Rhinolophus ferrumequinum: one gene and its partners. The protein of the gene in region 3 interacts with the protein of the main gene of each other region in a pairwise test. Links are inferred from orthologs where the notes say so. Each region holds a gene or a part of one and is shown on either strand. Other genes may lie near its edges.

What was found.
Region 1: the proteins of CCDC102B (region 3) and PNMA5 interact in binary tests that used the Homo sapiens proteins (3 or more experiments, as listed by UniProt). The two-hybrid records come from large-scale screens. The link is inferred for Rhinolophus ferrumequinum from reciprocal best matches to the Homo sapiens genes CCDC102B and PNMA5.
Region 2: the proteins of CCDC102B (region 3) and NTAQ1 interact in binary tests that used the Homo sapiens proteins (3 or more experiments, as listed by UniProt). The two-hybrid records come from large-scale screens. The link is inferred for Rhinolophus ferrumequinum from reciprocal best matches to the Homo sapiens genes CCDC102B and NTAQ1.
Region 4: the proteins of CCDC102B (region 3) and PPP1R18 interact in binary tests that used the Homo sapiens proteins (3 or more experiments, as listed by UniProt). The two-hybrid records come from large-scale screens. The link is inferred for Rhinolophus ferrumequinum from reciprocal best matches to the Homo sapiens genes CCDC102B and PPP1R18.

The regions. Positions count from the first base shown.
Region 1 is NC_046284.1:7,195,741-7,203,118, reverse strand, and holds the start of PNMA5 (paraneoplastic antigen-like protein 5), read left to right. Parts: upstream 1-4,375; 5' UTR 4,376-4,509; intron 4,510-5,163; exon of another isoform or gene 5,164-5,174; intron 5,175-5,388; 5' UTR 5,389-5,524; intron 5,525-5,988; exon of another isoform or gene 5,989-6,213; 5' UTR 6,214-6,274; intron 6,275-6,466; 5' UTR 6,467-6,591; coding exon 6,592-7,378.
Region 2 is NC_046297.1:60,733,262-60,740,434, forward strand, and holds the start of NTAQ1 (protein N-terminal glutamine amidohydrolase), read left to right. Parts: upstream 1-4,157; 5' UTR 4,158-4,394; coding exon 4,395-4,483; intron 4,484-4,490; exon of another isoform or gene 4,491-4,627; intron 4,628-7,173. UniProt on the Homo sapiens protein: Mediates the side-chain deamidation of N-terminal glutamine residues to glutamate, an important step in N-end rule pathway of protein degradation.
Region 3 is NC_046302.1:53,807,439-53,815,253, forward strand, and holds the start of CCDC102B (coiled-coil domain-containing protein 102B), read left to right. Parts: upstream 1-4,812; 5' UTR 4,813-4,931; intron 4,932-7,815. UniProt on the Homo sapiens protein: During interphase, forms fibers at the proximal ends of centrioles to maintain centrosome cohesion. During mitosis, dissociates from the centrosome following phosphorylation to allow centrosome separation. Contributes to CROCC/rootletin filament formation.
Region 4 is NC_046286.1:1,291,049-1,298,307, reverse strand, and holds the start of PPP1R18 (phostensin), read left to right. Parts: upstream 1-4,247; 5' UTR 4,248-4,585; intron 4,586-5,481; 5' UTR 5,482-5,619; coding exon 5,620-7,236; intron 7,237-7,259. Other genes in the region: NRM (nurim), read left to right, coding at 784-916, 1,487-1,683, 2,276-2,452, 2,812-3,093.

The DNA of each region.
Region 1 (7,378 bases), on a different chromosome or scaffold from region 3:
TGCCATGAAAATAAGAATGCTCAAAACCCCTATGTAATTCTTGTTCTGCTCAGTCTTGGGTTAACAGTCTCATGAACCCATCAGCTTCTTCACTAGAATTCTGGAAATTCTGGCTCAGTCCAGTGGTAGGATCTCAAAGCTATTGAAGCAATGCCATCAGAAGCTTGTGCCCCCAGAGCACCTGGAATAGCCCTTTCCATGGGGATCTGAGACAGTCACTTTTTCTTGAAGATGAAGCATTCCGGCCTGTAGTTGATTGCAAGCACTTTCAGGGAAGATTCAGTGTAAAACAAAAAATTATCTGTGAATGACTTAAAATGCCCATGGTTAAAGATCTGATGAGAGTTCATTACAAAAATCATGCAATTGACAAATTTGGTTGTTTCTGTGGCATGCAACACTTTAGAAGTCCAAGGCACTATCCATGACTATGGAGCCACTTTGTGGCATGCAACATTTTAAAAGATAACTAGAATTATGATTGATAATGCTATACTGTTGTTTAATATCAGGCAAAGCAGAACCAGGACATATTCTGGACAGTGACGGTATTGGCAAATCTCTAGGAACTTCATACAATTTCTGAAATATTTTTTTATTTTTATTTTTAAAATTAGTTTCAGCTGTACAAAACAATGTAATAGTGAAATATTTATATTAATAACATTTTGCCCACACGAATTTAACTTAGGGAGGGTTAGGCATCTCTTCTGATTGACAAAGCCTCCCATGCAATTCAATATATCAAATAAACCTAATTATTTCTAACACCTGTGATTTTCCAGGGTCCCTCAAAGAAGGTCGAGATCAAGAATACATCAATTAGGATTTGAGTTTAGGAAGGCAAAATATCAAAGTTGTTGGGAGGTTTGAACACTTGGCTAAATAATATCATGTGTCAATGAGAAACACTCCTTGGCTTTCCATTTAACCAAAGTGACAAAACATTTTAAAAGAAAAGATAGGAAGTAACGCAACTGAAAAGAACCTTAGTTCTTTCAAAACTGAAAAGGTTTGGTTCTCAAGCAATTAATGACATGATAAAGTCAACATGAAGGACAGTAAATTATTCTAAGACACAGAATCTTTGCTTTCTAGGCTGATTACTCAGAAAGCAAAGCAAAACAAAACAAAACCTTGGGTGGCTGGATGGCTCAGCTGGTTAGAGCACGAGCTCTGAACAACAGGGTTGCCAGTTCGATTCCCACATGGGCCAGTCAGCTGCGCCCTCCACAACTAGATTGAAGACAAGAAGCTGCTGCTGAGCTTCCAGAGGGGTGGCTGGATGGCTCAGTTGGTTAGAGCGCGAGCTCTCAACAACAAGGTTGCCGGTTCAATTCCCGCATGGGATGGTGGGCTGCGCCCCCTGCAACTAAAGATTGAAAACGGCGACTGGACTTGGAGCTGAGCTGTGCCCTCCAAAACTAGATTGAAGGACAACGACTTGGAGCTGATGGGCCCTGGAGAAATACGCTGTATTATATATATATATATATATATATATATATATATATATATTCTATCTATATATATATAATATATATAAATGCATATATATAGCAAAGCAAAACCTTTTACAGCCTCTTACTAAGAGCCTACCAATAATCTAAGTTTTTTTTCTCATTTTAACAAGGAAAATCAAATTCTAGTTTCGCATCAGTGTACTGCTTAATATTACAGCTCATTTTAAAATAGCTCATAAATAAACCCATTGAACTTTAGCCAGTTATGACCACAAGAAATAAAATTTATTTTCTACGAACCTTCTACAACTTTCATTTTGATTCAAGTTTTGTCCTGTTGGCATAAAAAATGTCCAAACCTGTAGATAATTTTTATAAGAATTTGTTTGAGCCAATCTGACAACATATGCCAGGAAGAAAGATCTTAAATGCTCCAGAGACTAACAATGTTGCAGCTTCTTTTATGCATTTGAAATTAAGGAGGGAACTAAGGAAGATTACATGGGGGTGGGAGGAAGCAAGGCCAAGATTGGATTACAGGAGAGGAAATAAGATTATGTGCTCTCTTGAGTGTGGTTTTGCTTCTGAGGAGTCTGAAAGGGGGTATTTCAAAGGTGTGTTGACCTAGATGCACAAGAAAAACGGACAGGGCTTGCTTAAAAACTAAAGAAGTTTTTTTAGATTCCTGTTTGGGCACAATTGTTCTTCAGCAGAGACCTCTTTCTTCCAGATACCGGCACCATTTAATAGTGATGCCATGGTAAGGAAATAGACTGGAATGCCCTGGGACTAATTCTCTCTGGCTTTTAGGCACTAAAAAGAAAAAGAAAAAATTCCATCAGGTCTGAATAAGCCAATTCATGGACAATTATGAAGTGAGAAGTTTCAAGACAGACACCTATTTCCTAACATTAGGTATGTCAGCGAGTAAGTTATAATTGGGAAAATAAAAGAGATGCAAATTTATTTGTAAAAAAAAAAAACTGAAGAAGTTACAGGCCTAAGGCATGACTGACTACCCACCATGGCCTGTCCAATTAGGAATTTATGATCACATCACCCTGTGAAGTTCCTTTCCATAGGACCCCTTTTTTCATCCATAGTCCTACGCTTTCGTCTTTGTCATTCTGGAACAGCCAGTCATTTTACTTTAGGACAAAATTAGTCGTTGTCCTTAACAAAAACACATCCTGCATACCTTATATACTTAATTTAGTATAAGGTTTTAAGTTACCTAAAGATCTTGAAACCTTTAGGGCTGACATACTACATATGAAATATAATTACTGTTAAAATAAAGTTTTGTCAGAATAAGTTCACTTTGAAATAGTACATACACATACATACACAAAAACATACATATAAAATAAATAATCCTGGCAATGTAATGTACAGCATGGTGACTATACTTAATAATACCATATTGCTTATTTGAAAGTTGCTAAGAGAGTCAATCTTAAAATTTCTCATCACAAGAACAAAAATTGTAACTATGTGTGATGATGGATGTTAACTAGACTTATTGGGGTGATCATTTTGCAATATATACAAAAATTGAAGCATCATGTAGTACACCTGAAGCTAATATAATGTATGTTTTCAGGGGTATTTCTTAACCTCCCAGGATCACAGGGCCAGCACACCTCTTTCCATGATTATCACCCTTTGTGATACCTTGTAATACCTATAATACCAAGTGGCTCAGTGGTGGTTTCATGGAACCACAGTGATCTGGTATGATGAGAACCCTCAGGTAAAATGTCCCACCTGGGGTCGACTCTCTGACAGCACCAGGTAACCATCTTTTCTTGGCATGGGAGATAGAGTTAACAGACTCTTAATAGTGTGTTCTTATTATGTAAGGCCTATTGAGGCCTTCTCAGACATAGCAAACAAATGTCGTTGAAGGGGAACAAACATGTTGCTCAGTAACCTTTCATTTAAAATTTTATTTCCTTTAAATATTTTTATTAAAGCATTATAGGACAGCCTGTTCACTTGTATCCCTAATAAAGGAAAAGAAATCTATTTTTTCACCAAAGGCGCATAATTTCTGGATCTGAAAAGTAATTACAGGCTTTAGAGCCTTGGTACTCAAAGCCTAGTCAGAGATCTGTAGCATTGGAGTCACCCAGCTTTCGAGAAACACAGACTCTCACTCACCCCATCCTCCTGATGCAAACATGCATTGTTATCAAGACCACTTTCCATTGTGCTACCTGTAGCCCCCTAACGCCCATTGTTGAACAGCGCATTTGGGTCCTGAAGGCCCCAGGGCAAATGTTCCCTGAGTGGAAGAAACCTTTCGAAAAGGGCAGGAAGCAGTTTGACTATTAGGTGGGTAATGGGTAAATCCACTTGCTCATAAAGTCAAGAGAATAATGGGAGAATGGAATCCTTGAATCCTTCTCTGTCTCTTGGTGAACTCCAAAAATTTCCATGCCCTTGGGAAATACAGGGAGCAGCTGTATTGTTGCCATGCTCCATTAGAACACAGCGGAAGAAAAAATAAACAGGGATCAGGACTTTTCTTTAGAAAGCACCCTCTGGGGCTTTAGTTTTGCACCCGGCCCTGTGATGACTTGCAATTTTCAAATTTGAGGAGGGGCACTGGTGATTGTTACCGCACAGCTCGGGTAGAGTACAGAAGAGACAATGTAACAAGAGCCACAATGGCTCCTGGGCCTGGCGTTCCACGTGGCAGGCCTGGTGGTCTCTTTGGAGATAACCCAAGGCCGGAGCAGTCCAGCTCTGCACTGCAATGTACACTCCCCCGCAGCTTGATTTGAACTCTCTGTCCCCACCTCCGCCAAGTGCATCGGGAGAGGAACAAGGGCTGAGACAAGGAGCACCCCCTTTCGAAGGGGGAGGAGGGTACCATTCTGCGATGGCGCAGGGACAAGCAGGCCGTGTGCCCCTGTTGGGGGCGCCAGGGTTTCTTATTTTATAGCCTCCTCCCCCTAACTCCTGGCCCAGTGTGCACCGGGGCTACAGAAGCGTGGTGGCTGTGGTTTTCTGGCGTCTGGCCTGCAGACATCTCCAGTAGGTAAGGAGTGGGGCCCTGAGCAACCCAAACCGCAGGACGTTGTCCCCAGTGGCCCTTGCCGTCTTCCTTGGCATCACAGGGGGCCCCCTGGAAATGGGATCCTACTAGATCAGGCTTGGCACCCCGCGGGCTCCCTGCCATTTACAGGCCATAGCAACCAGCCTGGGAACTGCAGAGGAACTGATTCCATGCCTAACCCTGCCCAGAGCCATTGCAGTCTGCATATCCAGAACAAATGGCTCTCGGCCTTGCTCTGGAAGGAAAGTGGCTTCAGCCCTTCCTCTCCTGGCCCCCGCCAACATCAACTGACCAGATGTATTCCTACTACAGAATGGGGGGTGTTTGAGGTAGGGGGTGTGTAACGGGTGGAGGTTTTAGGGAAGGGGGTTTAGTGTGGGGGAGGGGAGTTTAGGGGAATGAGAATAGGAATAGGAGTTGGGTTTAGGTGGGGGGCAGGGCTTGGATTGAGCTGTAGGGGTGGAGCTTGGTGTCAGGGGTTGGGCTTGGGTGGGGGCGGGGCTTGGCGTCAGGGGTTGGGCTTGGGGAGGGGCGGGGCTTGGTGTCGGGTTGGGATTGGGTAGGAGTGGGGCTTGGTGGGGGGGCTTGGATCAGAGGTTGAGCTACAGTGGGGGTAAGCCTTGGAAAGGAGTGTGACTTGGCAGTAGGTGGGTATGAGTGGGGGTATGAAATTGAGGGTGGGGACAATAATCTTAAAGTGGGATTCCTCCTGCTATAACAGTGGACCCCAGTGACAAGTTTCTTGTATCTCTGCACCAGGGTACCTGTGGCCAGCTCTGCAAACTTAGAATTGGCACAGCCTGAGCAGGGGCACGTGGGGCAGAACCCTATCAAAATACCTCTGCCTTGTCTTGGGGACAGGTCCAGTGGAACAGTACCCCCCCCATACACCCTGGGGCCAGGAACTGCCTGACTGTGGACAGCTGGAGAGTTGACTGAGTGTTGAGTGCCTGGGGCATCCCTGTATCCACACCAGCAGAGGGGCCTACTCAGCAAGGTGAGTGGTGGTGAGGAGGGCCTGTGTTGGGAGGAGCCTCTGTAACCCTGGCAAAGATCAGGAGGGGGAGGGGCTGCCTGCCAAGATGTACAGACTCTGCAGGGTAGGGTCATACCTAGACAGAGAGCTGTCTGTCTCCTGAAGTGTGGCACTGGTGACCTTTTCTGGGTCCCCTTTCTGCCCGATTCCAGCTCCCACACATTTTAAAATCATAAGCTCTTGATTTTTTAGCATTCCATCCTTGCTGCCCACCCCCATCTTCCCTCCCCCGAACCCCCCCTTGTTGCTGGGACACTACATTGGTTGGAGGCCAGTGACATCACCTGTTGCTCCTGGAGGGCCTTAACCTTACCACATGACACCAGTCTGCGATAGAAACCCATGGTCCACGCTGTTCTCAGTATCCATGGCAACACTGCAGCTTGTCACAGGCTCTCCACACCCACCAGTTTCATTGCATTGCGCAGAACTCCAGCCATCTTTCTCATCTGTCGGGCATTTTCTGAGAAAGAGGGGAACTCTGCATCTCCCTCCTCCTCCCTTTGCCCTGGCAAAGAGGTGCCAGGTGCCTGAGGCCTGAACAGCCCTGAGCCAGGGAGTGGAACGTTCTGTCCTCTCTTGCTTAGAGGGCTTTCTCAGTGTCCCCAGTCATCAGGCCGTGCCTCCTGACGCTGGCCTTTTTACTACAGGCACCTGCAGCACCTGCAGCAGAGTCCTTGGAATTTGAGAAGGAACCCACAGCAGGAGGAGGTCAGCAGGGAGGGCATGAGGTGGGGGGAGCTTGGACTGGGAGGCCCCTCTACAGTCTATACTCCACCAAATGACTAGGGGAGCCCTGGGAAGCAGGGACTGAATTCCTGTGAGTGGAAGTGGGGGAAGAGAAGGGGCTCTTGATAGAGGGGACTTGGCGATAATGATGCTTTCACCCCAATTGCATTACAGGCTGTGGAAACCTCGGACACTTCTGCCTTTGTGCTTGGCATTGGCTCAGAATTCACTGAGCTGTGGTCAAACTCTGAGCAGATTACTACCCCTAGTATTAGATCAGTTCATAGAAAGTGGAAGCAATGGCCGCTGTGACACTGTTAGAGGATTGGTGCAAGGGGATGGACCTGGACCCTAGGAAGGCCTTGCTGATTGTGGGGATCCCCGTGGAGTGTAGTGAGATGGAAATTAAAGAGACCGTGAAGGCAGGCTTACAGCCCCTGTGCGCCTACAGGGTGCTGGGCAGAATGTTCAGAAGGGAAGACAATGCTAAGGCCATCTTCATTGAATTGGCTGACTTTGTCAATTTCACTACGATACCCAGTGAGATACCAGGAAAGGGAGGTGCCTGGGAAGTGGTGGTGAAACCCCGTAACTCAGATGACGATTTCATCGCTAGACTGAACTACTTCCTGAAGGATGAGGGCCGGAAAATGGCAGATGTGGCCAAAATCCTGGGGTATAGCAGTGTCACTGAGAGCGTGGAGCCAGAGGGTTCTTCCCAGTTCAAACTGGCAGTTATTCAGCCTCTGAAAGAAACCATGTGGTACCGAAAACTTAAAGTGTTTTCGGGAAATACTTTCCCAGGCTCAGGTGAAGAGAACTTTGAAGTCTGGCTAGAGCACGTCACTGAGATTATGAAGGTGTGGCAAGTGTCTATGGTAGAACAGAGGCGCCGTTTGCTGGAGAGCCTACGGGGCCCTGCCCTGTCCATCATGAGGATGCTCCTGGCTAACAATGACTCCATGACTGTGGAGCAGTGCCTGGACGCTCTGAGGCAGATCTTTGGGAGTAAAGAGGACTATAGAACCTCACAGTTTAAGTTTTTTCAGAGCTTTCAGCTGTCTGGGGAGAAAACCTCTGTTTTTT
Region 2 (7,173 bases), on a different chromosome or scaffold from region 3:
CAGAAAATGAGAGGGGAAGATATGTCATGGTTTTATGATGTGCTTTTCAGACTTTCCTGCTTTATCAGCCTTCCCTAATACCACACGCATGGGCTGGTCCATGCAGAGGGCTCTGGGAGTACTGCCTCCCTCCTACCCCATTCTAAGTAAGATGAGTAATAACTGTATTGTGTTCCAACCCAGCCCAATACCCCTTTCCCAATGGTGAGGTGCTCTCCACCCAGAACTCCCATAGTACATTGCTGCCATAGCACTTAGTGCTTTATACTGAAATTATCCCATTTAATATAGGTAAGTAGTAATCAAATAAATGGAAATTAAAATAACAATGGGAATGACAGTTTTCTGACATATATATATATATATATATATATATATATATATTTAACCATAATACTCAATGTGATGTTGAAGTATAGGCCCATTTCTTAAAAGCAACATAACAACATGTATCAAGAGACCTGGAAAATATTTAAAAACTTTGGCTCAGGAATTCTACTTCTAGCACTCCATCCTAACATAATAAGCAGTCATGGACCAAGATTTATGTATAAAGATGATGATTGCAGCTTTATTTACAATGCTAGGATCTGAAAACAAACTACTGTACAATAGTAGGGAAAAAGTTAAGTGAGCAACAGTTTGTCCACACAGCTCTTTATATTTTTTCCTTTTTTTTAATTGGGGAATATTGGGGAACACTGTGTTTTTCCAGGACCCATCAGCTCCAAGTCAAGTTGTTTTCAGTCGCAGCTCAGCTCCAAATCAAGTTGTTTTCAATCTGGTGGAGGGCACAGCTCACTGGCCCATGTGGGAATCGAACTGGCGACTTTGGTGGTATGAGCACTGCGCACTAACCAACTGAACCAGTTGGCTGCCCCCACAGCTCTTTATATTAATGTTGCTATAAGAAAAAATTTTTATTCTTAAAAATGAGAAAAATTCCAGCAGTACAGAAATGTACAAAATAAAGGTACAAGTCACTCTGTGTGATTGCTATGAGGAAAAAGTTTTCTTTCCACTGGGATTGCCACGCCTGGAAAATATGAATATGGGGCTGCCAGCAGCCATCCTCCCACAGCAAGAAGTGAAGTGACCTGAGAATGAAGCCAAACACTGAGGAGCAGACTGAGACAGGAAGAAACAAGGCCTGGGAGGTGAGTTCTGCTCCTGATCCCTTGAGACCCTGGTTTCTGCAGCTCATCCTTGACGGTGAGAGTTACTTTAGTGTCCTGTTAAATGAGCTAATAAATAGCCTTTCTGCCTTGACTTTTAACTGAACAAGTAACGAGTGATGACTAATAAAACTGGGCCAGCTGCTTTGCTGGAATCAAATTTTATTGTTAGTGCTATAATCCTAACGATCAATTAATTCTTTCAACAACTTGAAGTGAGGTCCATTTGGCATGAAATAGACTTTGGTAAACCACTGAAGGCCCCTAAATAATCACCTTTCTTCATGGTCACAATAGGCATCAAGTTCACTAGCGTCTAGTGTCTGAAACACATATTCTTTCCTTTTACGTGACTCAAGACAGCAAGTATTCATATTTAGTCTCAGGTCACCTCCTCCAATGTATTTTCTCAAAGATCCGTAAGAAAGGCTTTGGTCATAATCTAAAGCACTTGCAGATGCTGGGATATAATTATCTGGATCTGAAGATTTTTTTTTAACCCATTTAAGGCAACTTAGTGCTTCCTATCACTGTACTTACCTTGACTTTAATTTCCTCTTACTGCTATTTTCCTTATTCTTTACAGCTCGAGGTCCATTTTCTTTGATAGAGCAAAACAGTCACTGGCTATTTGTTTTCTTTCAGTTGTTTTATCACACATCATGTCATATGATCCCAAGCAATGGGATTCTCTCTTCCTTTTTCTTGTAGTTCTTAGTATTGAGCATTACAAATACCGCCCCCCCAATAAAAAATAAAACCTCTGTTTGTTAGTAAGCCTGTGTATTATGTGCTGTAGACTTCCTGATACTCCTCTTGCATATCTGTGGGCATTTTTTATATTTTCCTTTATGTGTCCCTCCTCCAAACCCTTGCCCTTTAACATCTTGATTTCATTGGGTATTGGCTTCTTGGAGTGCATCTCTTATTTCTTCCTCATTGGAGTCCGTAGGTTAGAATCTCGTTCTAAGCACCTCTACTCCTCTGAGACCATATCTCTTTTTATAGTCTCTACTATGAAATCATATGAGTTTTTAAAATACGATCTATTTTTTTTTTTCAATTTAAAAACTAGTTCCTTCTTATAAGAGAAAATTTAAAGCATAAAGCACATTATGGCAGAGACTGCTGGCTCTCCTCTACCCTTTCTCTGTTGTTTTCCCAGCAACTCCAGATCACCCCCATCCTGGGTAAACCAGTGAACTCCTCTGCTATCTGGTAACCAACCCACACCATGTCCAATGAGGTCCAAACCCCTTTCAAATTTGTTCTTCTTGAGTACTCTTCCCTCTAAGTACCATGGAAAGTTTCCTTGTATCTTATAGTTACACTTTTATCATAGTTCTTGACATTCAACTTCCTTAAGCAAGGTAGAAGTGGTAGAAGGGAGCAATCACCAACCAATGCGGGGATGCCTTGGGAGTCTGGGAGCCAGCAGGGGCAGAAGGCCTTCAGAATGCATTGGGGTGGTGGTGGGGGAAGGATAGAGGGGCTTAGGGAAGTAGGGGAGACTCCAAGACGATTGACGGAATGCTCAGTGTGTGAGCCCCCCAGCCACAGGTAACTGTGCAGGCCATGAAGTGCTTGCTGAAGGAGTATGGGAGGCAGTTGCCTGCAGGCCTCCCTGGCCTCTGGTTTGTGTCAAGAGGGCTGCAGAAAGGTTATTGTTAAGCTAAAGTTGCAAAGTCACAGAGGGACCAGTAGGATCTGTGGCTGGGGCAGACCTCACTGGATGATGATTCTCATGACCACTCCAAACTTTTGTACCATCCCAGCAACTGGAGTCTTCTTCCTGCGACACGATTTAATGAGAAGGCTTACCACCATTCTCTCATTAAAGGAGAAATGCTTAAGGGAATTATTTGTCTAGAGCCTATACTGAAGTGTGTATTCAGAGCTGAGAGGCAATAAATTGACAACTGACCCAAGGACTTATGCTCAGTCTTTAGGATTTTGGGGTTTTAGAATTCACGAGTTGGGCAAATCTGACTATAGATCGCCTATACACCAAGAATTTCAGTTTTGATAATGGAAAGTACCCTGATCAGCTATATATGCCCTTTGCAAATAACAGACAATTCAGAGGACTATAAAGCATCAAGTGAAAATCCTCCGTTATCATTCATTCACCAGAGATAAACAATTTCAACCATTTGGTGTCTTTCCTTCCAGGCTGGCAACAAAATAAACATGACTAACACAATGGGTACCATGTGGATTCTTTTTAAACTTTTTTTTTTACTTACTATATCAAAGAATCCATAGATCTTTCTTAGCCAATATATACAATTCTCTATTTTTTAAAAATGTTACAATACGGTGAGATTTTAGGGTGATACCTTTCGCTAAAACCATCCTTGATGCAGACGTATTTGGACTTAACTCACCCCCCCCCCCTTTATTCCCCCTGGATCCTGCGGGCACTAGGCTCAAAGTGCTGAAGCTTCATTTTTCACACACAAGTCTCTTATTTCACTCGCACACGTCGAGTCTTCTACATCTCATTTGGTGCTTCCACAGCTGGCAACCCGACCACGCGTTGGAAGAAGGGTCTCAGCCTCCTCCTGGAGAGTCACGAGGCGCCGTTCAGGGTCCGGCGGTTTACCAACTTGACGTTCTTCCTTGACTTTTCAGGTCGCCGGCTAGTGACCTCTCTTTTCCCCCACCTGACTGGCTCCTCGCTAGTACCGCCGTCCCCAGCACTCCCGGCCCCGCCCCACCTGGAACCCGCGCCGCCAGCACCGCCCCGCCCTGGCTCCACCGGTCCCGGCCCCCTCTACCGGAATCGCGCGGTCCTCGCCGGAGTTCAGTCCGCGGGAAACTTAAGCCGCTCACCCAACCCCAGACCCGCCCACTTTGCCCTGGCTCCACCCTCCCGTAACTAGCCCTGCGCGTCCCGCCCAGGCACCGCCCACCGGAACCAGCTCCGCCTGCACAGGGCCGTCCTGGGCCCGCTCTTTCAGCCCCTAGCTCCACCCACCGGAACTTGCCCCGCTCTTGTGGACCCAGAGCTCCAAGAACCTGAGCCGCTCGCCCCGCCCAGATTCCGCGTGCTCGTGCCAGGCTCCACCACTCGGGAACTGCACCAGCTGCCCCGGCTCCGCCCACTCCGCTTCGAGAGCCTGTGCGGGCTGCTGCACGCCAGCTTCGTCCCCAAAGCGCGCCTGGGGGGCTGGACCAGTTGGCGCGCTTCAGGCCCGTGCCCTGGCCCAAGCCACCATGGAGGGGGATGTCCCCGACGCCGCAGCCGCCAGCTACCAGCCGGCCAGCCCTCCAAGGGATGCCTGTGTCTACAACAGCTGCTACTGGTGAGGGGGCGCGGGTGCAAACGCTAGCATCTCCGTGGCTGCCGCGACGTCGCCGCTAGGCCCCGCCTCTTCCCGGCTCCTCCCCCGGGCTCTCTGGGCCTCTACTGGCGGGTTTTCCGGTTTGGCGCAGAGGACGCCGGAATGGTAGCTCGCGTCTTTTGAGTGGAACGTGGGCATTTGGATGGGGGTGGGGGTGGGGGTGCGGAATTCGCCAGTAATGGTCGAGTCGGCAGTGTATTACTTTTGCCTGGCGCTTTTCGCTTGGACGTTTCTCAGCGGGTCTCAGTGCTTGTGGGCTAGGAAGGGGAGGCAGAGGCGGAGGGTGGAGCGCAGAGAGCCTAGAAATTACTTTGCCTGAGCTTGTGTTGTGTCACACTGATGTGATGGTCATTTTAATTTCGGAAGAGAATGGAGGCACAGAGATTTTGCTGTAACTTTCCCAAGGTCACCCAGTTAATAGTATCCAGAAATCCATTTCAGGCCCTCTTGTACCAAAAACCACGGTCTTAACTACCATGTTGTCATAATGGTTACACTTACATAGTACTCGCTATATGCCAAACATTGTGCTGAGTGGTTTATGTAAACGGATTCATTTATGCCCCGCAATTGCCTTAGGAGGTAAGTATTGTTATCCTCATTTTGAAGATGAGAACACTGAAGCACAGAGGGCTGCAAGTAAACTTGTCTGAGGCCACATGGCTTGTAAGTGAAAGAATGGGGATTTGTGAGTAGAGTACGGCCCTGGAGTCCACACATTGTACCCCTGTCCTAGGCCACCTCTGTGGCTGAATCACAGTTCCTACCTTGGTCCTTTTCACTCCCACACCTACCCTTTCCTTGCCTGTGTAATGACTTCTTCCCCACTTCCAGTCCCTTTACAAGAAACGGCAGGGCCACCTAAAACTATCTTTCCCTCCTTCAGCTGGTCACCAAACCAGTGCCACCCAGAGCTTAACGTTTGTTCAGCTCTGACTGCTTATCAGGCCCAGTGCCAAATGCTTTCTTCCATCCATGCCTAGGAGATAGGTTCTATTACTCATTTCTCTCATTTTACTAATGAAAAGACAGCCACAGAGAGGCTTGTTGTTGGCCCAAGATCAGCCATTTAGCAAGCGGTAGTCCTGAAACCAACCTCTGTAATGCTGGAGTCCATGCTTGAGTACTGCACTTTATTTCTGCCCTCCCGCTCACCTAAATCCTATTAGTTCTTGTCCCTAACGTCCATTCATTTGTTTTATTCTTTCACTAAGTATTTATTAGACATTTGGAGTGTGTAATGCACGATTTAAGGTACTAAGGATACAGCAGTGAACAAAATAGACAAAAGTCCCTGGTAAGATCTCATGGTTCTTACATTTTAGTTGGGGAAAAGCAGACAAAAACAAACCATGCTTAGGTGTTGTTGAGTGTTATGAGAAAATTAAAACAAGGTAAAGGATGGAGACTTACTATTTTATATTAGGATATTTAAGGAAGACATTGTTGATAAAACGATCTTTGAACAGATCTGAAGAAAAAGGGCGGAAACGTCGTGGATATTGGTGGGAGATCATTCCAGGCAGAGAAACAGCAGGTGCAAAGGCTCTGAGAAGGAAACAAGCCATGACTATTCTAGAAAACAAGGAGGCTGACACGGTTGGAGTGGAGGGATTTGGTGGAAGAATGGTAGGAGATGAGCGTCTCTTCAGTAGATCATCTTTTTGAGTTCCTTCTACCGTCGGTCAGATCCTCCTTGACTTGCTTGCTGTTGGGGGCATTTTCCAGTCCTTCCTAACAGGTCTCTCTGCTCAGCTCTCCCATATCCTGTCAGGTCTAACTTCTTTACACGTCTCAAAGCCATCATGAATTTGAATGTGCCAGAGAATCAGCTGGGAGCTTGGAAAACATACAGCTCTTAGGATCCACCCCCTCACCCCCGAGTCTGGATGTGTGAGCGGCACAGTGGAGCAGTCTGAGTCTGGCCTGACGGTCACATATCAGGGAATACAGACGTAGATAATAAAGTCTGTCCCCTGAGCATAGCAGGCCCTCTAAGGTCTGCTCACTGTCTGTTCCTCCAAAACCTCATTTTGAACTTGGCTTCCCTGCCCTACCCCAGAGTTTCTCAACCTTGACTCTGTTGGCATCTTGACCATGTTAATTCCTTGTTGTGGGGACTGTCCTGTGTATTGTAGGATGTGTAGCAGCATCCCTGGCCTGTCCCCACTAGAGGCCCATAGCATCCTCTCCCAATGTGTGACCACCAAAAATGTCTCCAGACATTGCCAAATGTCCCCTGGAGGCAAATCGTCTCTGATTGTGGACCAGTGCCTTACCCTGTCTGAACATGTGGGCTGGGTGCACCTTACTACACTTGCTCCTGTGGGTACTTCTAACTTGAAATAAACGTTGCCTCTACTTCTGTTAGTTTCTGTCAGATGTTAACTTATCTTTTAAGACCCAGCTTAGGGATAATAGTGGTGGCCGATGTTTGTGTGACACTGTGCGGTTTGCAGAACATTTCTGATTCTGTTGCAATTGTTTTGTGTTTTTCAATCAGTTATTGAGCACCTACTGTGTGCCAGGAATCCTTGTCCGCATGTCTTTCTGAACTCAGCCTATCACCAGTAACCCTTAAAGTAACCATGGGCCCTAATGCTGCTTTATTAGCCTTTCTGCTGCCAAAACAGTCAATTGACAGGTTGGAA
Region 3 (7,815 bases):
TGCTTAATTTTCATTTTTAGAATATGAAAATATGCTTTTAAGCTATTTTGTAGATATTGTAGTTAGTTCTACATAACTACTTTTTAAAGTAATGGCTACAATAGTTATATGCTGCTTTAGAATAATTCTCCAAATATTGTTAAAGCCATTGAAATTGTTGCAATTAAGATTTAACGGTACAACTGATTCAAGTAGTTAAGGCCACAGAAAATCTGTCTGTCTTACTTTGTCCGTATTTCTGTTTTTCTTATTTTGTCAGTGAGGCACACATGTGTGGTATTGGTGCTATTAATTTTTTCAATTTATAAAAGTAGGACAAAAATTAGTAGAAATTTTAAAATCACTATAGATGTCAAAATCACCATTCAATGTTTTAAAGGTATACCTTTCTAGTTTATTTTTTCTGCAATTTGTGCAATTCAAGATTGCTCTCATTAATTTTGTTTTCTCTACTGCTTTCATAGAATGGCCATTCATCCATCTCTTTATCCATTTATACCTTATTCACTTATCCATTAGTTTTTTGGCTTATTTGCAAAACATTCAAAGAAAGATACAATATTATCTCCTTAAGAAATTCAGTTTGTTAAGGAAACAGACGTGTAAATAAGTACACAGCTATAACCTTTGGCTGTAGTATTCACTCTTTCTGTGGGAATCAGGAAAAGCCTCATAGACATGGTGAGAGATAGCTGTCAAACTGGGTCAGGTTTGCTGTGGGAGTTTGCAATTTCACATAGTTTCTTCTGGAACGATGGAAAAGGATCTGGGGTAACATCAGTTCTGATTAATATGTATTCCCCATTGTTTCTGCAGTTAGATACTATTACAACTTTCTGTTGGCCTGTAGGTCCCAATCTAATAAGTAAGGCCACAAGAGAAATGTGATGACAGTGGTGTAACCAGATCAAGTTGTCTTTTCCTCACATCACGAAAAGCCTGCTGGCAACCATGGTCCTGGCTCCTCCTGCCTTTCCCAGTGTGGTTTCCATCTGAATCGTGACCCTACAATCAGTTAAGGAATTCTTCTCTATCTTCAGCCTCCCAGCCTTGTTCAAGGAGGAGGAAGAAGAAAAAAGTGAAACAATGTGGTGGCATCCATATCAGGAAGACAGAACTTTCCACAAATGCTCATTAGGCTTCCACTTATGTATCACCAGCAAAACTGTGCCATGGAGCTAAGTGTATTTGTCATCGGAGTCTTGGTATAATAGTATAAGCTTTTTTTTTTTTTAACTGTCATATTGTTGTCCCAAATAAAAATACAATTTATTTTTGTGGGGAGGAGGCAGAGAAATTATTCCAGGTTAGCAAACAGTAGAATTCACAGGGAGAACTTGAGATGTACAATGAAATTGGAATCCACACATGCACACAAAAATCAGCCCATATTGATGTGTGTTCAGTGCCTTGTGATGCTGGCAACTTGCCAACAAGTTATGAGAACTCCAAGGCTGAATTTTCTGTTCTCTTTTCCTTATGCTCCTATTACTTGTTATGGGATATGTAGTGTTAAGGTAATGAAGAGGTTTGTACCTGTGTGTGTGTGTGTGTGTGTGTGTGTGTGTGTGTGTGTGTAAAAGGGGGTGGGCAGAGAAAGAGAGAGTGAGTGACCATGGTGGCAGTGTACTCTGAACTAAGATGGAGACACTGGATCGCTTTGTTTCCATGACACTGGTAGGTCCCACACTGTCGGTAAACAGCATTGGTGATCCAGACTTAGCAACAAGGACAAAGCAAGACACCTACTCTACTTTCTGACCCTAAGAAAGTGGGGTTGTGGGGGTGAAACAGAACCTTAATTTGGCAAAGCTTCTGTTGAGACAGTGTTCTCCATATATATATCCCGATTTTCCTGCTCAGTGATTTATACACTTGCCTGTAAAAAATTGATGTGGTGAAACAAAAATCTGATTGGTGTAGGTTCAAGAGATGGAAGGAAATGAAGACAGAGAAACAGACAATTCTTTCAGGTTTTACTACATATAAAAGCAAGCTATTATATTTGAAGGATAAAAAGGTGTGAGGGCTCAGGAATAACAAAAAGGTTGCTAGCTTGAGAGCCTGGATGGATGGTAGTATCGCTACTTAAGGTTGAGAATACAAGTAAAGGTTTTGGAAGAAATATGAGATTTCGCTTTTGAAGATTATTAATGATTCAAATGGCTCCCTGTGAATGTTCTCATTAGACTGTTACAAATACAGATCCAAAGCTTGATAAACTGTTTTGGGCTGGCCATATATATTTGGGAATTTTATGTATATTACTGTATTTGCTAGTGTTCCATAACGAATCACCACAAACTTGGTGATTAAAACAACAGGTATTTATTGTCTCACAGTTCTGGATACTAGTACTCCCAAATCAAGTGGTCAGTGGGACCATAACCTCTAAAAGAGAGAGAAACCTTCCTGGCCTCTTCCTGGATTGTGGTGGTTCCCAGCAATCCCTGGTTTGTATACGTATCACTCCAATCTCTACCTATATCTTCCCACGGTGTCCTTTTCTGTGTTTCTGGATCTAAATTTCCCTCTTCTTGTGAGGACACCAACCATTGGGTTAAAGCCCACCCTTATTCACTGTGACTTCATTTTAACTGGGTTACATCTGCAAAGACCCTATTTCCAAATAAGGTCACATACACAGGCACCAGGGCTTTTTAGGGTTTGCAATTGAACCTGCAACAATGCGTATGACAAAAGAAGGCACAAAACACATGGGGTCACCCTGACAAAGGATGTGGGGTGACACTAGGACCAGCGATTGTTACTTGTTGGTATTGCACCTTGAAAGGAAAGGGAAGTAATAAAGGACGGGGTAAGTACATGGCATGGTCCACAAGACAGAAAAAATAATCCAGAACCGTTGAATTCTGGCAAATACATTGTGAAGAAGAGATTTGATAAGGGGTTAAAATCTTCAGAGATCTGAATTTGCATGAGTACTAGAAACAGACCACCGTCACTCTTGCTGAAGATGTAGAGGGACTAGCATGAGGGCAGGTGGATAAATTAGGAGGACATAGAAATCCAGATTATGACGGTTGCCTGAACTGGGCATAGTATTGAAGGAAAATCAAAAGGCAGTGATGCTGGGTTGGATACAGAATCGAAAAGGAGTCAAGGAAGGCTTCCAGGATTTTTGTTAGTAAACCATAAGCCTGGTTGGCATTATTCAGATAAACAACACAGCAAGTTCACAGAGAAACGATGATTTCAGTTTTAAGTATGTTGATGACATATGTGTGGTATTTTCTAGTGTGCTGATGCACATGAGTGTTGGAGACTCAGAAGAGGATTGGATCCAAATGTTGATAATTTGGAGTCCTCAGCCAAGAAAGATGATCATTGTAACCATGATAATGGGTGCCATTATCCAGGGAGATAACACATTTACATGAGAGCATACCTGATAGACGCCAGGGGTTGGAGGGAAGAGAGGCAACACCCCAGGGAGCGGGGGAGGCAGTGGCAGTGATCAGCAGGAAGACCTGGAGGGTGTCGTGCTCAGATCAGAGAACAGAATCTTCATGTCAGCAGGATTGTGAACAGCATCAGAGGCTGTGTAGATGGCAAGTAGAGTGAGGACTGAGAGGACGCTGTGCAAAATATGCACGTGCGTGCGTGCGTGCGTGCGTTTGTGTGTGCACGGGTGTGTTTCCAGAGACAGTCACGTTGCCGCCTTAAAGGGAGTAGGTGGCCTTAGTATGGATGCTTAGTTGGAGAGAGCTCTTTGAATAATTTGGAGAGGAGGGAGAATGGTTGCTACAAGGAAAATGAGCGAATTGAAAGTGAAATTGATTGACATAAATGAAATTGAAGAATTTATGGTGTTTAAAATATCATGGGAACATCCAGACAAAAGGGAGAGTTCAAAGAAAGGAGAGAGAATGGTGGGTGATCATATTCCCTGAGAAGACGGGGGACAGGAATCCTCAGTGGATTCACTTTCTCCTGCAGAGGGGTCTCCCTCTCCAGAGGAAGGAGGAAAGGATGCTGTGAAGCCGAAAGAGATGATGCAAACGTTGTTCAGCTAAGAATAATCCTCCAAATTGAGAAGGGAGGAGGCATACACTAATTTTAAGACATGAGCTCCCTGACTTTCACATGCTGCTCTCATGCTATTAACAAGGAGTGTAGTGATTGTGTCTCTTCTGTCCTCTCTTCTTTGCGCATTCGGTGCTGTTCGTTTCAACCAGAGAAGCTGTCTTTTATGTGGTCTACCATCACTCCTCCATCAGAACACTTCCTGACAGCTGTGTCATGTCACTGGGAAGTCAGTCCGTGTTTTCCCCCCAAGGAAAGGGGCCAGACAGCTCTGGCTGGGGGCTGTGGAGCTTCCAGATCCTGCCAGCATGACTGAAATCAGAGGTTTTATTAAATGTTTCATTAAATTTTTTTTTTCTTTTTTAGGGGGGGCAGTATAGAAAAAATCATGATAAAAACGATGATATTTTCTTTTGTTCCTGTGATTTTGGGATCGTGGCAGATAGAAACTTTTTTAGGTTTTTTTTTTGCTCTGCCATTTTCCTGTTTCTATTACTATTACAAGCTATGCCTATTGTTATTAAACACTGAACAAATTTGTGGATGAAGGGGCGGGTGTTTTCTTTTTTATCCACAGTACATCGTTTCCAATGGGTTGTATGCAACATGTTGGCTAACCATACTTTGTTAGGGAACGCTGAAATGATTTCATTTTGGTTAGCTCACTTGTGATCCACAGAGGGTGTTGTGGTATTGGTTTTGATAAAACTTCACAACCAATGGGAATCTTGTTCGAGTTAGTGTGGAGTGGCCTTAATGCTGGAAATAATCCTGTTGGCCAGGACCCCAGAGCTCCACAGATGAGAAAAGGATGCAGGAAATTCTGTTGTTTATGCATGTGTCTGTAACACTGAGCCGCTAGAACAGCCCAGCAAGCCCAGAGGGTAAGATGCTTAATAACCTTGTGGTTTTCTACTTAATTTTTATATTTTCCTGCTGGGGCAGAGCATGTGTTGTTCTCGGAGCAGAGAGAAGGACAGTTACTTGTAAGATGCAGAACAAAACTACTGTAGGTCTGGGAAACAGGGGGATTTGGAGTTTCTGCTAAAAGTGGATTTGATTTCTTCCCTCCCTCTTCCATTTCCCACTGTTGGCATTATGTATCCTGACAGCTTGTCATACATTTCCTGTCTTTTAAAAAAAACTGTATACTAAACAAAATTCAGGTAAGAATTTCACTCTAAATTAAGACAGCAATATGATATGTGGGTATTAAAACCTTGTTTGGTAGTTCCAAGTGGATATAAGTTATGTGCTTGAAGTAATCTATATTGTTAGAGTAAAAACAAAGTAAAATTGTTATGCAAACCCTCATACGTTACGCTTCATGTACTTAGAGTTGTTTTCATGCTGAATTCCTGTCATTGTTAACTGAAAAGCATACTTCAGACTTAGCAGTAATATTGATTTCTTTATATAAATTACCTGGGTGGTGGGAAGGAGATAGGGACATAGAATAAAATAATGAGATCCTGTGCATAATAAAAAGGAAACGGATGCTTAACTCTATAGACAGTGCTTATAGAGCTGAAGAAAAAGGGATCTCTGGAAACCATTGGGCAGTATTTGCTTATGTTTCCTGCAAAGATAAATTATAAAATGAATGTTGAGTGGGTGTCTATTAAATAGAAATATAAGGAAGATGTTCTTAAAAACATAATTAGAAACATGTAAGTAACATATGGTATTGAAATACACAACGCTATTTCTTGATATTTTCATTTACATCAACACTAATTTTTCTACTTTGTAAAATCATGTAAACACCCTTTTGCTGATATTTTGTGGGATAGGGTGTTGTTACGACTTCTGATTAAATGTTTTGTTGTTATTTTATAGTCAAATATCCTCACGTCTACATTAAATGTTCTTGAATTCTCATTTTTATCCATATTTTGACATAAGCATTAGATTACAAAGAAATCTCGAAAAGCTAGTGATACAATATATTTATGCTTTGTGTGATGTTGCAATATCAATTTAAAATATCAGTGTGTGTATGTGAATGATATCTAGAAAGAAATGTTTGATATGAATTACTTTTCATTCAAAACGTTACAAATAGTTTTCTTGTGAAATAACAGATCATGTAATGGTTTCTGTCTTGCAGTCTTCATTTGTTTTCATTGGATTCAGTAACTGATTGATCACTGGGACAGAGCTTCTTGGTGCCTCACTATGGGTGTGGTCTCGCAATTTACGAGGGTTTCATCCAATTATTAGAGTCACAAACATAATGGCAGTAATTCTTTAAAATTGAAAATGATCTCAGGCCACTTCTAGTTGAAGAAGTATCCTGCCTCTTATGCTGATATTACAAGGTCAATTGGATTCTGCCATAATGTGAAAATCTTCAAAAATTCCCTTTTTAAAAAGATTTTAGAGAAGGCTTGAAAGAAAAGTCTGGCTTTCTGAACTTAGCCATGAAAAATCAGTGGAACTTGGGTAGTTGCTGGGAAGCAAAAAGACTCTTCTACTTTGTAGTAGTTGGAGCAAAGGGTGTCGAGGCATCAATTAAGACAGAGCAGAGAAGGAGAGATGGGTTCCCTGCCTCATTGAGGCAGAAAAAACACCCCTTTGTGAGAAGCAGACATTGAGCTCCATGGAAAGAGCAGACAAAATCGTGGAGCATCTGAAAATGCACAGAGTGATTTTGTCCTCTGTATGATACAATGGGGGCGATTGTAAATTTCTGAAGAGATGGAGTCTTGTGTCCCTTTCCTCCTCCGCCTCCTTAGTAATCATCACCTCCATTGTCGTCATCTTGCCAACACATGATCATGTTTCCTATGTGCAACATAATTTACATACATGAGTACAATTTTGAAAGTCGTGCAATCAAATGAATTTTCGTTTTGCCTAGTGTCTTCCTCTTACACATGAAGGAATCTGATATGCAGAAACATGAAATGATTTATTTAAAGCTGCGGAGAGAGTAAGTGCTGAAGCCAGGATTTCAAACAATGTCTGTCTGGCTCCGGAGCTATTTCCACTATGTTGCACTGGTATTTTAGGAATGTCAATCCGGCCTAAATTAAGCAGGATGGTTTGGAATGGGTGTTGGGATAACAGAGTGCAGGAAGGAGGCGGTGAGAAAACGGCAACCATCAATTCCAACATCTGCAAATCCAGGCTAATCGCAATTCTCTCAGGTGGTCCACTCTCCTTTGGGGATAGAAAGAGAAACTGATACTGAAAATAAGCTTTTTACATTTAAACAGGCTGTGCTGACATTCAACTCTTATGCTTTTCTCTTTCTCATTTTCTTGAATGTTGTATTCAAAGAAGACAGCTTTGATGTTTCAGGAAATTTAATCACTGATTTTTATCGATATTACCAGAAATGAAATATGTGAGGTGCCTGGCAATAATACTGGGAACACAGGGGTTTCCTTTGTTTCTTCTTGATGTGTGATATGAATGAATGCTTAGTGACCGCACTTTCTTAAAATTATGGAAAAAAATTATTATCAAAGAGAAGTATCATCTAGGCTTTATTTCAGTGGGTGAAGAGCATTTATAAAATATATGCTGATATAAAATATATCAGTATGTAGTAACATACTGATGTTACTACAGTATAGCCATAGTAAAAAGAATAGATCCTAGTTATTAAAACTTTCCCCCTTTACAGCCAAACTTTAAACATGCTATTTCACTTTCTCTCTAAATAGAATAGGACTAGTATCTAGAATGGGACTCATTTTATTTTTTTTCTGTTTTTCATTGTTTTCAGTTACATAAAATTACCTTATATTAATCTATGCT
Region 4 (7,259 bases), on a different chromosome or scaffold from region 3:
GAATCCAGCTGATGAGGTTGTAAAGTCATAGATAATAAATTCATAGATAATTCCAAGCTTGGGTAAAAGTAGCCTACTGCCAGGGCTTACAACTGTAATACGTAAAGCTTTCTACCACAAATATTTTCACATTTTTATTCTCATAGTTACAAATCAACAGCCTTTGGCATTATTAGAACAAATCTTTTAGTGTTACAGAGAAGTTCTCTGCCCTTCTTAGCAAGTGGAGAAACAATAACCCAACTTTTTCATAAGTTACAGAATAAGCATTATTTTGTGGTAAAACAGTCGCTCATTTTTCAATCTAACAAGATGTAATAAGTGACTCAGAGCTTTGGGTTCTCAGCCGTTGTCTCGCCGTTCATTATGTGTTCGCTGAGGCTTTAGAACCTCTAACTCTGGCTATGTTTTCCAGCCGGGGCTGTTAAAGAAAGGGGGTTTCTACCGCCGTTTCCAAGAACCCAGCAAGAGAGGAACTGTATTTTAGATGGGTAAACCAGCCGAGGTGGGTTTCAATTCACGTGAGTGGCTGCAGAGCCAGTGTCCCTTCCCCTCTCACTTGGGATTCTAACATTCCCTCTGTGACGCGGAGAGGACAGGCTGGGGACAGGCACCCGGGCCTCGGCCCTGCCGCGGGTGGCAGAAGCAGCGCGCAGCGGGCGGGTAGCCTGGGCGTGAGCACGCAGGAGCCCGCCCTCCTGGGCAGGATCCCAGACGGGAGGCGGAGCCTGCGGCCGCGGGAACCCCAAGCCCGCCCCCTTCCCCACCCCTCAGTCTCTCGCCATGGCCTCTGCTCTGCTCCTGGTCCCTGCCGCTCTCGCCTCTTTCATCTTGGCCTTTGGCACCGGAGTGGAGTTCGTGCGTTTTACCTCCCTTCGGCCACTTCTTGGAGGGCTGCCGGAGTCTGGTGGTCCGGGTGAGCGGGAGGGCTGGAGGATGAGCTCTGGAGTAGGGAGGTGGGGCCGGAGGAGAGGGAGCGGGGGCGGGGCTTGTAGACGAATGACAGGGGAAGTCCGGGAGAGGGAACTGTAACCGAGAAAGCCTAGAGAAACTACAGGAGAGGCCTGCGGGCTAAATTAGGGACTCAGGGATTAGCGGTTTGGAGACGCGGGACAGTGAGGACTGAGGCGGAGGGAAAGGGCGATAAACAGAGTATGCTGAGGAAAGTGCTGTGTAGAGAAGACTATGGAGAAGAGAGTGTTAAAAAAAAAGGCGCTTTGGAGAAGCGAAATAAAGCGCAATCCAAGGGTGGCTTCTTGCATGCCGTTGTGACTACTCAGCAGAATCATCTTCCCCAGCTCTGAAGGAGGCCTGGGAAAGAGGGAAGGAACGGGGAATGGGAAAGTGAGGTGGGCAAAGCGTAAAGAGGAAACAGTAAGGCTCTTGAAAGCATTAAGGGACCTGGCCTGGGGCCCCAAGAGGAAGTGAAGGTAAGGGGTGTTTCCCACCATCTTGTTCTTTTGTCTCTTTCTCCAACTCCCCCTAGATGCCCGCCAGGGATGGCTGGCTGCCTTGCAGGACAGAAGCATTCTTGCCCCCCTGGCTTGGGATCTGGGGCTCCTGCTACTATTTGTGGGGCAGCACAGCCTCATGGCGACTGAGACAGTGAAGGCGTGGATGTCCCGGTACTTTGGGGTCCTTCAGAGGTCACTGTACGTGGCATGCACTGCCCTGGCCTTGCAGGTATGAGGCCCTGGCACTGAGTCCCCAAGGGAAACAGTCTGGGAATGATGATCTAAATGGCAGGGACAAGGACCTTTGGCTTCTGATAAAATGTGGAAGCATTTTGGAGGAGAACTGAGGGTATTCAAGACTAATCTCAGCTTCCATTCCTCCACAGCACAGACCCTATTTTTGAATCAAGAAGGATGTACTGCTTCTCATTCCCCAACTGTGCCATGTGCATTCTCACCTCTGCAACTTTGTCTGAGTTTAAGGTCCTCTCCTTGACCCCTCTTCCGCCCTACCCTTTCTTCTAAACCAAGGGAAGTCTTCCCACTGGGCACTCATCTGTCTTCTCAGTGGGTACCTGGCATAGGCTATTTTGTGCACCTCTCTAGTCACCCCCATCCGTTCTGTAAGTCCTTCTGGTAGAGACAGGTCATCTTACAAACTTGGGGCCCCACCCAGCACCCTCCACATGGTGACTGTTTCTTAGTGATGCTCATGGTAAAAGGTGGGGAGAGCGGCAGGCCAGCCGGGGGTGAGGCAGCTTCTCAGTCCTGGTCTCTCAAGGATGGGCTGCTGGGTCACCTAGCCCCTCATCCTTCCCCAGCTGGTGATGCGATACTGGGAGCCTGTTCCCAGAGGCCCCGTGTTGTGGGCAGCTCGGGCTGAGCCATGGGCCACCTGGGTGCCCCTCCTGTGCTTTGTGCTCCACGTCATTTCCTGGCTCCTCATCTTCAGCATCCTTCTCGTCTTTGACTACGCCGAGCTCATGGGCCTCAAACAGGTGAGGTTGCCAGATCCCGACTTGAGACCTCTGATCCTTTCTAGAATGCCTCTTTCCTTTCCAAGGATTTCCCCCCTCTCTTCCTCTCATGCTGTTCTACCTTCCTCTTGCTTTCAGCTCCCTTACCTCCCTTTCTTATAAGATAGTCTCCCCTCAGCCCTCCCTCAAAGGCTAAAAACCATGGGCCTCCTGGGCCTGTGGAAAGTTTGTGGCCCAGAGATGAGGGTCAGGGGCACAGGACTCAGAAGAGCGGTCCCTGGGCCTGAGTTATAGCAGGAGGGTGCCTGGAAGGGGAGGAAAAGGTGGCTAAGTTTCAAAAAGGGCTTGACTCCGTTTCTAAGCTGTTCTCTCTCTCCTAGGTGTACTACCATGTGCTGGGGCTGGGCGAGCCTCTGGCCCTCAAGTCTCCCCGGGCTTTGAGACTCTTCTCCCACCTGCGCCATCCAGTTTGTGTGGAGCTGCTGACAGTGCTATGGGTGGTGCCCACCCTCGGCACTGACCGCTTCCTCCTGGCTCTCCTCCTTACTCTGTACCTGGGCCTGGCTCACGGACTTGACCAGCAAGACCTCCGCTACCTCCGGGCCCAGCTGCAAAGAAAGCTCCACCTGCTCTCCCGGCCCCAGGACGGGGAGGCCAAATGAGGAGCTAACTCTGGTTCCAAGCCGTGTACTTCCTCCCCCCCTCAGAATTCAAATTCCTTGATATCCAGGCCCTGGCTGCTTTAGACTAGAGGCTTAAATCTGTGGACTGAAGGAGGACCTGTCCTGTCCACTCCCGTCCCTGGGTCCATCTCCATACCTTAAATTCTGAGTCTCAGCCACTGGACTCCAAGGTGCACTTCTCACCAGCAAGGGAGAAGGGTGGGGAACTTACTGGTCTCCTCACAGATTGGGGGGGCTTGACATCCCCCTCACCAACCTCAAAAGGAGAAGAGTCCAGCCTGACTACTCCCCTGGCACAGTTACTGCCTCTGCACTTCCAGGATCATCTCCAAGTCTCACTTCCCCTCCTAGGAGCTGCAAGTTTGAATAGTGGCTGTCCCTCCAGGATCCCCACTGGCTGGCCTCTCCACCTCCTTAGGCCCCGCCCCCGGGTTCTGTACTTGAACCTACTAGGGAGGACTCTCCTGCTCAAAATTTCGGGTGACTAAGGGCCCCCCTGTTCACCCGAGGAACACGCAATGGAGGAAAATAAATTTCAGCTGGGTTTTTCTACACATAGTGCGCATTTTGTCAGTCTCAAACTTGCAGGGCTGAGTTTGGGAAGGAAGCGAGTCCTGAGCCTGGGAGCGTCAAAGTCTAGTCTGGGCAGCCAAGGGCGGCGGCCACTCCCGTGGACCCACCCCCACCTTCCCGGAGCATCCTAGTCCCGCTTCCTCCACATTCCCCAATTTCCCCGAAGCAGACCTTGGGACCCATGGGAGACGAAAGCATAAAAGAGGGGGCAGCGTCTCCGGCAGGAAAACGAGCTTCCAAAGCTATTGGCCTCCGAGCGCCTCTCCTCCCCACCGGCCCCCCACTGCCTGGCGGCGGCCCGGGACCCCGTAGCAACAAAGGCGGGCCCGGGAGGCCAAAGTGTGGGGAGGAGCGGCAAGAGATGGGAAGGGCGGGCCCCGCTCCGAGCAGCTGCTGCTTCCTCCCCAAGTCCCTCGAGGGGCCTGAGTCACGGGCCGCCGCCCTGGGTCGGCGGTCTGGGGGTGGGTGTCTGGACACCTGGGTTCTCCAGGGCTACCGGACGTAAGCGGGGTGAGGGACCCTGGGGACCGAGAGCTGAGAGCCAGGGGTGGCGGCGGGAAAAGGGGAGCCGGGATCCGAGTCCCACGGAGGGCCGGTGGGAGCGAGGCCCCGCCCCCTCCTCGGGCTCCGCCCCGCGCCCCCTTCCCTCTCCCCATTGTCCTCAGACAAAGCGGTCACCGCCCCCCGCCCGGCCCCCAGGTTTCTGTCTCCGTCCCTCCTCCTCGGCTCCCTCTTTCACTCCTCCTCCTCCCCCTCTTCCCCTCCCTCCTGTCTCCGGATCTCCCTCGATCCCTCTCTCCTCCTCTTCCTCTCGCCTCTCTCCGGACGCCAGGCTTCTCCGCACCCCCTCCCCTGGGAGCCCCGCTGCGTGTGAGTTGACAGAGGCGCTTCGGACTTGGTGAGGGGCTGTCTCTCCGCTCCGGTCCCTGGTCCGGACCTTGGGCTGATTCCTCTTTGTGCTGAGATTGTCTGTCCATGCGACTAGAGCTGGGCAGGGATGGCTGGCAATGTCATGGTTCCATGAGAGCCGAGACCCTGGCTCAGGACGCGAAGGCTCAGGAGAGAAGAGGCGTTGAGCTGGTCCGCCGCGCTCCTGGGTCCGGGGCAAAGCCGGTGGGAGAGGCAGGCAGTGGTGACGCGCCGGGGTGGGGGTGGACGTTAGGGCTCTGGGAACGCGCTGGCAGACCCGGCGCCCGGGTTCAGAAAGTCCCCGGGGGAGGGTATTTCCCCTGGCCCGCCCTGGGGCGGAGAGGTGGGGGAGCCGGGAGGCGGAGCCCAAGCACAACTGGAAGGGGAGCCCGGATTTCGGGGGCCCGCGCCAAGACGCGCGAGGGTGCACCCGCGGAGCTCCCTTTCCCCTCTGAACCCCGTTTCCCCTGCTCCCCTAGACCTCCCCACTCACCGTCCCTCCTCACCTCCCCGACACCCACTCGGGTCCGGTTGCCCCCTCACCGGCGGGATTCCCTGACCTCCCTCCCCACTCTCACTGCCCCCAGGGGTAGCGGTGAGGCCACCTCGCTTGAACCTGTCCCGCCTCACCCGCTGCCTCTCTTCTCTCTTCTCCCTCACACCAACTTCTTTTCTCGCCCTTTTCTCTTCTTACATCCTTGGGACTGTCTCTGACACCCATTAACCCTGTACTGCCAAATCTGACTCCTGCCCCTTTGCTCCGAATCTCCACTCTTCCTCTGCTTCACCCCCTCCCCGCCCCCATCAACTTGGCCCATAGCTTTTTCTTGGTTTTCCCCTTTCTCTCTCTTGCCTCTTCTTCTTTCCCTCTGTCCTCACTCTCAGCTCCCCTGTCCTTCTCTGTGTCCCACTTCCCCCTTCACTTCCTCCCCCCCCACCCCCAGTCTCACCCCCTGAGCCGTCTGGAGCCTCTCCTTCCTGTTCTCTGCCCCCAGTGCTCCCCACCCTCACCTCCAGGAGACCATGGCCACCATCCCGGACTGGAAACTACAGCTGCTAGCCCGGCGCCGGCAGGAGGAGGCAGCAGTTCGGGGCAGGGAGAAGGCGGAGCGGGAGCGCCTATCCCAGATGCCAGCCTGGAAGCGGGGGCTCCTGGAACGCCGTCGGGCTAAGCTTGGTCTGTCTCCTGGGGAATCGAGTCCTGTCTCTGGGAATGCAGAGGCTGGACCTCCAGACCCAGACAAGTCTGCCGTCCTGCTGGAGGCCATCGGGCCAGTGCACCAGAACCGATTCATTCGGCTGGAGCGGCAGCAGCAGCAGCAGCAGCAGCAGCAGCAGCAGCAGCGGAGTGAAGAGCTTACAGAGAGAAGGCCTGGGCCCTTAGAGGCCCGGGAGTGGAGAACCAGTCCTGGGAACATGCGGGATCCAAGCCCCAAGGGAAAAGAGTCGAGGGAAGAGCGGCTCAGTCCCAGGGAAGCCAGAGAGAGGAGGCTGGGCATAGGGGGAACCCAGGAACCGAGCCCCAGGCCTTCAGAAGCTCAGGAGTGGGGACAGGGCCCAGCAGAGGCTGCAGACAGGATCTCCATGCTGTCAGAAGCACGGAAATGGAGGCTGAGCCCCGGAGAAACGCCAGAGCGGAATCTGGGACTGGCAGAGCCTCGAGAACAAAGCCCCAGGAGAAAAGAGGTGGTGGAAAGTAGACTGAGCCCAGCAGAGTCTGACAACCAGAAGTTGGACCTGACAGAGGCCCATAAATGGAGGCCTGACTCCAGAGAGTCTCAGGAACAAAGTTCGATACAACCAGAGACATCAGAATGGAAGCTGAGCTCAGGAGAAGAAAGAAAAGACTGCTCAGAGGAATGTGGGAGGAAAGAGAGGCCAGTTCCAAGGACGGCCCCAGAAGAGAGTCCAGGGCTGTCAGAGACGCTGACCAGGGGCACTCCAGAAACCAGCTCTGGAGGAGTGCAGGCCGCAGAGCAGAGGCCCAGCCCCATGGAGGATGGTGAGAGGGGCTTGAGGCTGGCAGAAGGGTGGAAATGGACCGTGCACTCTGGGAAGGTTCGAGAATGGACACCCAGGGACACAGAGACTCAAACTCAGAGGCCAGACCCTCCAGAGTCTGCTGAGAAGCACCTGAGGCCTCTTGGTGCAAAGGCTGGAGAAGGGGAGGCTGAAAAGGAGGAGGCGGAGGCTCCGGGCAGGTCTCTGAGCACCCTGCAGAACCTCCGTTTTGTGCCCTCCCCCCTTCCACCAGAGGACGCTGGGACTAGAGGCTCTAGACAGCAGGAAGAGGAAGCAGTGGAACTCTGGCCCCCACCCACAGCCCCTCTGTCTCCCCCACCCCCAGCCCCACCTGCTCCCCAGTCCCCTGGGGATCCCCTCATGAGCCGCCTGTTTTATGGGGTGAAGGCAGGGCCAGGGGTGGGGGCCCCCCGCCGCAGTGGACACACCTTCACAGTCAACCCCAGGAGGTCCGTGCCCCCTGCAGCCCCTGCCACGGCAGCCACAGCTGACACTGCAGTCCCTGGGGCTGGGAAGAAGCGGTACCCGACTGCTGAGGAGATCTTGGTTCTGGGGGGCTACCTCCGCCTCAGCCGCAGCTGCCTTGTCAAGGGGTCCCCTGAAAGGCACCACAAACAGGTAGGGAGCAGCCAAGCCAGACT